Linked DNA regions of Drosophila melanogaster. The gene in region 2 interacts genetically with the main gene of each other region. Each region holds a gene or a part of one and is shown on either strand. Other genes may lie near its edges.

What was found.
Region 1: of POSH (region 2) and Rab8, changing one suppresses a phenotype caused by changing the other (phenotypic suppression), as found in Drosophila melanogaster (one study listed by BioGRID).
Region 3: of POSH (region 2) and Tab2, changing one suppresses a phenotype caused by changing the other (phenotypic suppression), as found in Drosophila melanogaster (one study listed by BioGRID).

The regions. Positions count from the first base shown.
Region 1 is NT_037436.4:19,869,136-19,872,735, reverse strand, and holds the start of Rab8 (Rab8), read left to right. Parts: upstream 1-1,657; 5' UTR 1,658-2,231; coding exon 2,232-2,355; intron 2,356-3,177; exon of another isoform or gene 3,178-3,209; coding exon of another isoform or gene 3,210-3,228; intron 3,229-3,307; coding exon 3,308-3,368; intron 3,369-3,428; coding exon 3,429-3,600. Other genes in the region: Usp32 (ubiquitin specific protease 32), read right to left, coding at 1,282-1,342.
Region 2 is NT_033778.4:17,566,605-17,570,439, reverse strand, and holds the start of POSH (plenty of SH3s), read right to left. Parts: upstream 1,709-3,835; 5' UTR 1,377-1,708; coding exon 1,263-1,376; intron 1,195-1,262; coding exon 1,086-1,194; intron 919-1,085; coding exon 1-918. Other genes in the region: Ns2 (nucleostemin 2), read left to right, coding at 2,112-2,321, 2,709-3,387, 3,446-3,835.
Region 3 is NT_033778.4:19,290,676-19,294,510, forward strand, and holds the start of Tab2 (TAK1-associated binding protein 2), read left to right. Parts: upstream 1-1,853; 5' UTR 1,854-2,185; intron 2,186-3,835. Other genes in the region: Fkbp12 (FK506-binding protein 12kD), read left to right, coding at 1-61; mip40 (Myb-interacting protein 40), read right to left, coding at 619-1,422.

The DNA.
Region 1 (3,600 bases), on a different chromosome or scaffold from region 2:
TGCGATTATTGACCACCGCGCACATACTTGCATGCTAGTCCTCACTTCCCCCTTGGTTTTACTGGAACCGGTTGGAGTGGCTAATAAGAAACACACGCACCCGGTCGCACGCCCCACACCAGTGATGGTGGGTGGTGGAGGGGTGGTCCGGAGTGCTGGTGTTCCGGGGGAGTGAGCCTTATCAGCGACACTCGTTTTCTTAACTCTGGCTGGGCCGCCTGGCCACAAATCAGCAACCATAACCATAACAACACCAGCATTTAGATGATTGCCAGCGCAAAGGGAAGGCGGAATAAAGTAAGTGAAAAGCACTAAGGGAAGCTAAACGTCATTGAAAGTGGGCCGAAAATGGGTATACAAGTTGGCTTAAATAATCTTAACTCTTCTGAATGATTACCAATTTTATTGCTGGTTCATTATTATAAAATATTTGGAGAAGAGTGAACATTCCGATTTTCATACTTTGTAAATAAATTTCTATTTTTTTGGCTTATCAGCTTGTTTTAAACACAGTAATTCCTTTTCCTATCTGAACATATTCCACTTAAAGAGGAATTTTAAGAAATAAGGAAATGACATGCAGAATTAAAAGCCCAATGAATTATTTATTTTAAAACATTTTTCTTATGGATATTCCAATTGGAAAATCGAAATCCAAAATGCTCCCCTTTCATTATAATTTCATTTCATTATAAACAAAAAAATTTTAAAGTAGGCTTCTTTATAAAATACTTCAACAGAAGACCTTTGCCCATAGAGTGCGAATTGAAATGAACACTGGAATGACATGCTGAACTTGAAATGAATCGTATTCGCAGCGACATCCGCATCCGCGCATTCCAGTCACCCTAAGCGTGAACTGCACTCCACTGGCTGTCTAACTGTTTCTCATGTGCCTTCGCTGCTTTGTTGTCTCTCACCCACACAGCGCACACCTCCAACTGCCACCCCATTCGGTTAGCTTTTCTATTGTGACGTCATTGGCGGCGGAGACGCAAATACCCATGCACATGAAAACACATGCAATAAAGAAGCCACACTGGAATGGCAGTAGATAATTGCAAGAGATAGGATTAAGAGGAGCATGAGGATGGTGGTGGCGGAAGTCAGTGGTGATTCCCGTTGGTCAGAAGACGTGGGCGCAACAACACAATGGAATCGATTGCACCTGCTTGTACGTTGTTGTTGCTTTCGCAGGGGGTTCTGTTTTCTTGATTGGCAGTGACCTATTTTCTGCGGCTGGGAGACGGCCCCACAAGTAACCAGCCGGAGGAGACTCACCGCGTTTCACCGAATCCTCGTAGCTGACGCTATTGGAGTGCTTGGACTCCTTGGTGCCCATGGTCCAGAATTTCTTGTTTGCGGGGGTGCAACTCAATGGATTCTGGGGCTCCGCCTGCTGCTGCGTCTGGCGACGCCACTTTTCACATTTGTTCAACTTCACTTCACAGTCGCGGGCGGAACAATAGGCTGCTGGCGAGGATCAGGTGCAGGATCACGACGATATATGTGTATGAATATATAATATACACCTGTCTTTTTGACTCTTGTCTTGTGCTATTTTCCTCTGTTTCTTTCTATATTCGCGCACTTTCCAACACTAACTGGAAACAGCTGTTTTCCCCATCGTACGATAAGCTATCGATAGACGACGGCGCGCCAGTGTTGCGCAGCAACGAATTATCGAAACTCATATTTTTTGTACGGGCGTAATTAGAAAGCAGTAATTAACTTCATTTCCACGTAATTTTCACAACAAACCAACGTAGACTCGCACCGCGTAGCGAGCGCCTTTGCATTTGCCCACCGGAAAAGCCGCCGCACGAAATCCGAAACTCGGGCACAGACAACAAAAAGGTCTTAAATCTACGTCGCCATTTTTGACACGGCTCCGAAATCGAAAACACAACACACACACCCAAGAGAAAAAGAGCTGCGCTGCGGAGAGAAGGAAAAAACTATACGTTTTCGATTCGAGTCGATTCAATTAGATTGTGGATTAGTGCGGTTACGTCTGGGTATAGTGTATATGTACATACATACGCTAAACGGCACGCATGGGGCATAATCGTGATTAGTGTTATTAGCCAAGAATCGGAGAGGAAGTCAGTCAGTTGATTAAGGAGACGACGACGTGTACAGAGCATCATCACCCTTAACCCGTACCCTAACCCCCAGCTAAGCACTATTATCGGGCCAGATACTGTGATCCTACCGCAAAAGCACACAAAATGGCCAAAACCTACGACTATCTGTTCAAACTGCTCCTGATCGGTGACTCCGGAGTGGGCAAGACCTGCATCCTCTTCCGATTCTCTGAGGACGCCTTCAACACAACGTTTATATCCACAATAGGTGAGTGTCATCATCCGCGTTTACCGTGTCTTCCGATTCTTAATTTTTTTTTTTTTTTGGTTATTAATTATAACACCTTCGTTCGCATGAACTCATTCGCAATTGGAAATCCGAGCTTCTGGCCCAGTGACTCATTAAATGCCTCTTTTCTTTTTTATTTCCTGCCCCATCCGGGCGCATTTGTCATAAATATTGTTGTTTCCATGGGAGGGGCACTCCCACCATGTTTGATTTCTCGCGCTTATTAAGATTTTCCCGTAAGGAATATATCCGGATGCCTTATCTCGCCCTGAGATTCACACCCGCATAGGAAAGCGATCAGAAATGAGTACTCAGTCCGAGTACCCATAGTCTTTGTACTTTCGCTGCTCTTATCGCCCCAGAAGCCGGATTGTTCCGATGCGAGACTTGACCGTCGCACGCCAAATCGGGAATGCCCTATTATATACCCAGCAGGCCCATGCCCAGTCTCAGAGGGAATTCAAGTAGTTGTTCCCGTACGAGTACAGTGAAGCCTTTCTACCAAACACAGCAAATACTTTTTAATAAATTCGAATCATAATCAGTACAACTTCAAGTGGCAGTTAAATCAGATTATGCTAGTAATTTTAAGCTTATTAAAATAATAATCACAATAATATTCGACATGCACACTGTACTTTCCCGTACTTGTAAACACAAAAGTAGAGCGATTCCCATTTCTGCTCGTGGCTAATAATTGTTTATTTTCGTTTTTGGCACGTTTTCATCGCGACACTTCCAATTTTGGGGCATTTACTTAACGACATTGTTTAAATTAATTGCGTGGTTTGTGGATTTCGGTTCTCTTCGTCTCTTATTTTAGCTGCGATGTCATGGGTTCCGACCAAACAGGTTTAGCCTCTTGCCAAATTATTTAAATTAATTAGCAAACGTACATGTGTGTATATGCTCATCTGTTTTCTCTTTTCAGGTATCGATTTTAAAATTAGAACAATTGAATTAGATAACAAGAAGATTAAGCTGCAGATATGGTAAGTACTAGGCGATTCATCTGTATTCTCTAATTACCTATATCTCCATTCATTTTCCAGGGACACTGCCGGCCAGGAGCGTTTTCGCACAATCACCACGGCCTATTACAGAGGTGCCATGGGCATCATGCTGGTATATGACATAACCCAAGAAAAGTCCTTCGAGAACATCAAAAACTGGATCAGGAATATCGAGGAAAATGCGTCCGCCGATGTCGAGAAAATGCTGCTG
Region 2 (3,835 bases):
TAAGAATTTCAGCCGAATGGCGGTTGGTCTGCAGCAGACTTAATGGAGCTCCTCCTCCCAGCAAAGCATTTAGTGAGTGGCGTTTCTCCTTTGCTCCCTTGTCACGGAAACGAACAGACGCCGATCCGGAAGCTACTACATGTTGGGGGGTATTCGGCAGTGAGATTTGGTGATTCGGACTGCAGTTATTCGAGCTGGATGTGGAGCTTGAATTGCTGCTGCCCGGCGTGGAATTGGAGGATCCCGAACTGGATTCCGTGACCACCGTGGGATCAATAACTGGAACCGGAGGAAGGGCCCGCTGCCCCTGTTGCTTCGGTGGATGGCAGAATGGATGGGTGTGTAGCCCGCTGTCCAACAGCTTTTTGGCCGCTGCATTCAGCTCAACGAATGCTATTGGAAAGATTCCGATGGTCTGGCCAATTCGTCCTTCTGCCCAATTATGATCAACTCGGCGCATTACCTGTATTACAGTGCTTTTCTTAAATTCGAGGCATCCCTCCTCGTCGTTGGGCCCCATCTTAAAGTCATACATGGCAATGCACTGCGGCATGGGCAGCGGAACCGATACCTTGACGTAGTTGATGGGAAATGTGCCCTCCTGACCATTCGCTTGACCCACAAACCAGTTGTTGTCGATGCGATGCTTGATCAGTATCAGATCCCCTTTCTTGAACTTTAGATCGGTGGCTTCACCGGAGGCGAAGTCAAAGAGGGCATAGGCGTGGGGGAGTAGAAATCGACGTTGCTTGTGACGAGCCGGCTGATGAGATTGCTGATGTGACTGCAGCTGGAGTAGTTGGTTGTCAGGCGGGGCCACTGATTCCGCTGGCGGCTGAGGTTTGGCCCTTTCCGGCTGTGTTTCAGTCTCCTCTCCCTTTTCTTCTCCTTTGCCAGCTGCTGCATTTTGTTTCATGCCTGTGAGAATTAAAGAAAGGGTGTTTAAAGGTAGGTAAAGACCAGGTAAACGCCATATTCAATTGCCAAAGCCACTTTGCCGCACTCATAAAGTCAACCATTCTTTGATTTTGAGCGTAGGCTGTTGTGCTGTGCCAGTTTAGGTTGGTGTGGGCGTTAGCTGTTACCTTCTAAGATTCGCATCAGCAAGACGTTTGGAGGCAGCTCATCAATTTTGCAAGAGACCAGGATGCGGCACTCCGGGCATCGCAACTTGTGCTGACTGGCCACAATGTCCTGGCATAGAATGATGAAATCATTCGGTTATATGATATATATGTAGCAAACCCACAACAATTACTCACCTGCAAGCATTTGCGGCAGAAGGTGTGCTGGCATGGCAGCACCTTCGATGTGGTGTCCAGTCGCTCAAGACACACGGAGCACTCCAACAGGTCGTTTAACGTGTGCTCGTCCATCTTGCCAGTATGCAAAATCTCAAGGATGGTCACTATTTGAATTTCGTGCAGGGCCACATTCCAAAACACACACACATGCAGGTACTGGCTCACGCATACGCAATCCCAAGACGCGGTTGGGAAATAAATTTAGCTCAAATGCTAAAATCTACTATTATAATCGCTACTTGTCGTTCTTAATGCACTAAATCAGATTATATTATCGTTGCAATAGGCAGGATTCAATGTTTAATTTATTAAGTTTGCCAAGTGCAGCCAAAGCTCGTGGCCAAGCGGATACAAATGTACATAGGCACACGGATATAAAACCAGCTTGATACTTGAACACAGTGATGGTCATAAGTATATGCCCAATAGGAATAGTAGTTCCATAACATTTAACCAAAAAGAAAGAAGCTAAGAGAGTACTACATGTTTTTTAAATTCACTAAATTTGCAAAAAATTATTTAAATACCACATGTGCCCCGGTTATAGTTGCATTTAATAAATGCAAATAATTGTTAAGTTGTACCCAAACTGGTGTTTATTACTGTTGGGATTTTAGTGTGGCCAGTCCTCGTAGTCGATATTTTCTGAAGCGCATTTTAGTGTTGGATACTAAGTCCAGACAGTGCTGAAAAACGCACGATCCCTTTGTTTTTTTATTTCATATAAAAACACGTGTGGTTTGGTTTGATCGTGTTCAAATATACGATTTGATTTATAAACAAGGCACACGACATTCTTGAGACACCATGCCAAAGGTACGCAGCACCCCGGGTAAGCCCCGGACGCAGGGATTCAACCACTCAAACCACTCCATGAATCCGGAGCGCCCCAAAAGCGGTCTCAAGGGAGTCGCCCACCCCCGCACTAAGGGCACCATCAAGCGGCTTCAGATGTACCGTAACTTCAAGGCCAAGCGCGATCGCACTGGAAAGATCCTCACGCCCGCCCCCTTCCAGGTGAGATTTAGCTTTACAACATGTATCTTCGATAATTCTTATCTTTGGATTCATAAGATTTACCATCACTTATAGACATAGGAAGGATTTATTGCAACATGAATATCCAATAACCATTGTTTAGTTTTCAAAATTATCATCTACTTCACAAAGGTGCAATTAAAACGATCGACTCAAAATTAAAAGCATTAAAAGATAAAAAGATTTCATAAGTATATTTTGTTACGACTTATTATCCGTATAATAATTTAATTACAAATCTTATGTTTTCATTCTTGTTGTAAATATATAAAAGAAAAAATTAAATACAAGAGAGAAAATGCCGAATATGTTTTCCACAACCCATTTAATAATTCATACTAATCCTGGAAATGTGCTTTATTTTAGGGGCGCCTGCCTGCTGGAACAATGGCTCGAGTTGAGCCTACGCCCAAGTGGTTTAGCAATTCCCGCGTTATCTCGCAAACTGCTTTGCAAAAGTTCCAGGATGAGATTGGCAAGGCTGTCAAGGATCCCTACCAGGTGATCATGAAGCCATCCCAGTTACCGGTAACTTTACTGAACGAGGCAGCAAAATACAAAAGGGTTCATTTGCTGGACACCGAGAGCTTCGACAGTACCTTTGGGCCCAAAAAGCAGCGCAAGCGCGTCAGCCTAAAGGTTCGCGATCTGGAAGATTTAAGCAAGGCGGCCGATGACCAGGCCGATAAGTACGATTCAGCTAAGGATTTAGATCTAATCCGCGAGGATACTGGCGAAAAGAAGGCCGTCCGTGATTGGGTGTTCGGTGCGGGGCAGAGTAAACGCATCTGGAACGAGTTGCACAAGGTGGTCGATGCGTCCGATGTGCTGCTTCAGGTTCTTGATGCCCGCGATCCCATGGGCACGCGCTCGAAGTACATTGAGGAGTTCTTGCGCAAGGAAAAACCGCACAAACATCTATTTTTCATTCTGAACAAGGTTGATCTGGTACCGGTGTGGGTAACGCAGCGTTGGGTGGCTATTCTTAGTGCCGAATATCCTACTATTGCCTTCCATGCCTCCCTACAACATCCTTTTGGAAAAGGTAAGTTTATAAAGTAAAAATATCAATTATTTGTCATAAAAATCAATTATTTTTATAGGTGCGCTCATCAATCTATTCCGTCAGTTGGGCAAACTGCATTTGGACAAAAAACAGATCAGCGTGGGCTTCATTGGGTATCCCAACGTGGGTAAATCTTCTGTTATTAATGCGCTACGATCAAAAAAGGTTTGCAAGGTAGCACCAATTGCGGGGGAGACGAAAGTATGGCAGTATATAACGCTAATGAAACGCATCTTCTTGATCGATTGTCCTGGCGTGGTGTATCCCACCGCGGAGACTGACACCGAGAAAGTGTTGAAGGGTGTGGTGCGGGTGGAGCTCGTCACAAATCCTGAAGATTACGTAGACTCTCTGCTGAAACGCGTGCGTCCGGAGTACATTTCAAAGAACTACAAAATTGAACACTGGAACACATCCACGCACTTTT
Region 3 (3,835 bases), 1.7 Mb from region 2:
CGGCGTCATTCCGCCCAACTCCACCCTCACCTTCGACGTCGAGCTGCTCAAGGTCGAATAGGCGCACAGGATGCCCAATGTGTATACCCCAAACCAAATCGCAGGGGGTTGCGGACCGGCGCACCGGCGACGAGCCGAAGAACATCATAATCGGAACCAGAACAATCCAGCAGCATTTGCCAACCCAAAATAATAATGATAACTTCATACACAGCTCTAAACTAGAACTAATTTAACCGCAAAGGGAACGCATCTTCTACCAATACAAATAAACATTTATTCAAGTCAATGACAAATGTCTTTCTTATCAAAAATCTTGGGATAATCCAATCAAATCAGCTGCGGTTGCCTTTCCGTGCTGCAATACAAATGCATTTCATATTATTTTTTAATCAGGAAAATATGCAAATATAAAAACGCTTTATCATTCTCTTGATAGACTTGAAGTGGTCTACTTGACAAATTTGATTTTATTTTATATAAGTATATAAAGTGTACAAGCATCTTATTTGCATATATATTCGATTTGGAAACAGGATTTTTTTTAATTCTTTGTGCACAATTAATCCAAATTATTTTTCATTTTCTATACCACTTCCAAAATCACCTAGATACGCTTCAGTTTTTGCAGACCAAGCTCATAATCTTGTCAATAACTTCATATCGCTCCTTTTCATACTTCTTGATATGCTTTATCCAGTGTCCGCGCACTTTCTTCCAGCGGTTCATATTGGAGGACAGAAGATCGGAGGTACTGGCACCTTGGAGAGCCTTTTCCCGCTTCTTGTCCTCCTGGCTGAACTCCAGACGAGGCGGAATTATGGGCAGATCCGTGGACTTGGCCTGCGGGAGCTGGTTGATCACCTTTATCTCGCCGCTTTTAATTTGGGACAGGATTTCTTCGCCGTTGTCCTCACGTTTGGTGGCCGTGAGTGAAGCATCTGTTTGAAATGCACCCACAGCTGGATTCTTGGGTTGATTTGCCATCCATGCGCGGCATATGGGGTACAAAGGAGTCTTATCCTGGTATTTGGACAGGTCCAAACTTCGCTCAAACAGGCGCATTACGTAGGTCTCGCCGGGCGCCTTCTGGGCGACTGCCGCTGCTCCAACGCTCTTCTTGTAGAGCACTCTCCTGGCCTTGATGCGTCCTCCGGCGCCGGCTGCGGCTGCACTCGAGGATGTCGAAGGCTTCTCGCTAGAGCCCGACGTGACCGTCTTGACTTTCGGATCTAGCTTTACCTGGTACTGACGCTGCTGTTGCTGCTGGATGAGCAGCTTCTTCGAGGGACGGCCCCGAATGGGCAAATCCGACTCTGCGTCGTCGTCCGGCGGCAGGTTTGTCGTCTCTGGTTTCTGCTCCTCACGGCGCGACTCCCGCAAGCGCAGGGCCGTTTCCTTCTTTTTCGGCACAGTCTTCATTTCCAGAAATCTTGTATTCGACACGAAAATTAAGGGAAAACAATTTCGAATGCCGAATCGGAAATCAAACGGACTTACGGCGCTTCACAACACTGAAACACCACTTCGCCACGCAACACTACATAAGTCAGTGGTATTTCAAAAAATACCATAAATTAAAGAAAACAAACGGTCTTGGCGCCTAACGCTAGCTTGAGAAATAATTCTTTGAATTATTTGTAGCTTAAATGAAAAGAAAAAAGAATAACATATATATTTTTAAACAAAAACTTAATACACATTAATATTTGACTATTCAAAAATATTTAATAGACTTTGATTGTTAAATTAATACTTTTGTAGATTAAAAAAAAAAAAACAAGGAAATGAAAGTCTTAAAAATTTGGTATTTCTCGATTTGGTAATTTTAACCCAAAACCTTTCGGGCTTTTCAACCCACCTTTTATGGTCACACTGCTGTTTTGTGATCGCGAAAAGAGCGACGTGAAAAATACATTTAATTAAGTTTACTGCGAAAAATAAAATAAATAACTAAATTAAAACAAAGCGGAGCTTTTGCGTGAACTGTGTGTGTAGTTGTGAGTGTGTGAGAAAAGAAAAACGAAAACAAAGCCAACGAGGAAATCGAAGGGGCAAAAGTGGAAAAGATTCAGATTGAAAAGCACCAAAATATCGAAATCACAATTTGAATGTCAAAGAACAAACGACAAAAAGAGCGGAGCAACAAAGGAACATTGGAAAAGTCAAGAATTTAACTTATTCGGTAAGGATGCAAATTGTAAATCTGTGGATTTTGCTTCTTCTGCTCACGCACACATCCACATACAATTGGGAAGTGCACAGGTGTGGGTGGATCTGCTCTGTGTGCAAATAACAAATTGTGAAAAACAACTCGCACACATGCAGATCACCTAGTGCACCAAATAAAAGCAATAAATAAACACATTTCCAAACGGGCAACAAGTTGTGAATGCGTTTTTTAAGGGGGAGGGGCCATACCAAGTTTCCCAACGTTTCACATTTTCAATCGATCTCGGTTGTTTTTATATATGTATGGATATTTTTTATCTACTATTGCGTAGCTGCCAATGTCACCTGTTTTTTGCTCTCTCTCTCTCTCTCTCTTGCGCTCTCTCCCTCCCTCTCGCTCGCACCCACGCTGGCTGTAGCTGGTTTTTATCTTGTGCCGTTAACACAGCCATTACGTGTCTCTTTCGCACTCGCACTGCACATTGGTGTTCGTGTGTCTGTGCAAGACTGCACGTAACTGTATTACCCATTCGTACATGCGTATACGTATTTCCGCCTATTGATAACGGCTGAAACTCCCTCGAAATGGCCGTCTTTTCGAAATATGTAAACGAATCGTTCGGGTACATCCCCCGACCACCACCCACCCACCGCCCACTCAACCCCCTCCAAGCGCTTCTAATCGCAAAGTGCAAATATTGATTTGCTATGTGTGCTTTTAGATTTTCTCCCACTATCAATAACAATAAGCGCTCTCTGTACGTTGTTTTTGCTTCGGTTTGGTTTCGTATTAAGAAAACAAGTTCACAAGTTTTTGCACTTGTTATGCACTGTAAGAAAAACGCAAGTTTTATTCAAGAGCTCCGCATTACCGCATTATATTGCCAATTGTGAAACTTTTATAATATTTATACTAGCAGCTTAGTTTTGTAACTTTCGGAAATAAAAAGTTTTGGTAAAACAAACAAGAAACATTTTATTTATTTTTTTAAGTGTTGATCATTGTTGCTGTTTCGTTTTGTGACTTTGTTTATGTGGCGGTTTTCTTGTAATTGCGGGAATTTCCCGGCATTTCAGCAGTTGAGAGTGCAAATATAAAGCAGAGAGAGAAACCCTCATCTGTTTGTGATTATCTGAATTCTTCTTCCGTATTTAAGCGTTAACTCTGCTTTTGAGCGACAAGGCTGTTAAATATTTTCAGCTATAACACCAAAATTACCCTTTATCTCGCAATATATTAATAAATACAAGTCTCCAAAAGACGTCATAAATTAAAACGCGATTTAAATGACGTTTAAAGCGACTTCTAATTTATGTATGTTTATCACGAACTAAAAATTTAATTACTTTATAAATTTTAAATTCTCAAGATAGTGAGCAACTATGTATGTTTTAAAGAAAAAATTGTTGGAGTTCCACAAAATTTCGTTTGAAAAATTGAGTTTTTATGTACCAAATATGCAAATCAAATGAAACTTAAAAGCTGACTTAGAAATCCTTTTGTTTATATGGGTGAAACTAAATAAATCCTTTTGTTTATGTAAATCACGTTCGATTGTGTGCTTATTCCACGCATTAATAACTGCCTTACTCCATGCACAGAGTACAGCTTTTTTGAATGTCATGCTGATATGACAGAGCTGAAACGCTCTTCTGACATAAT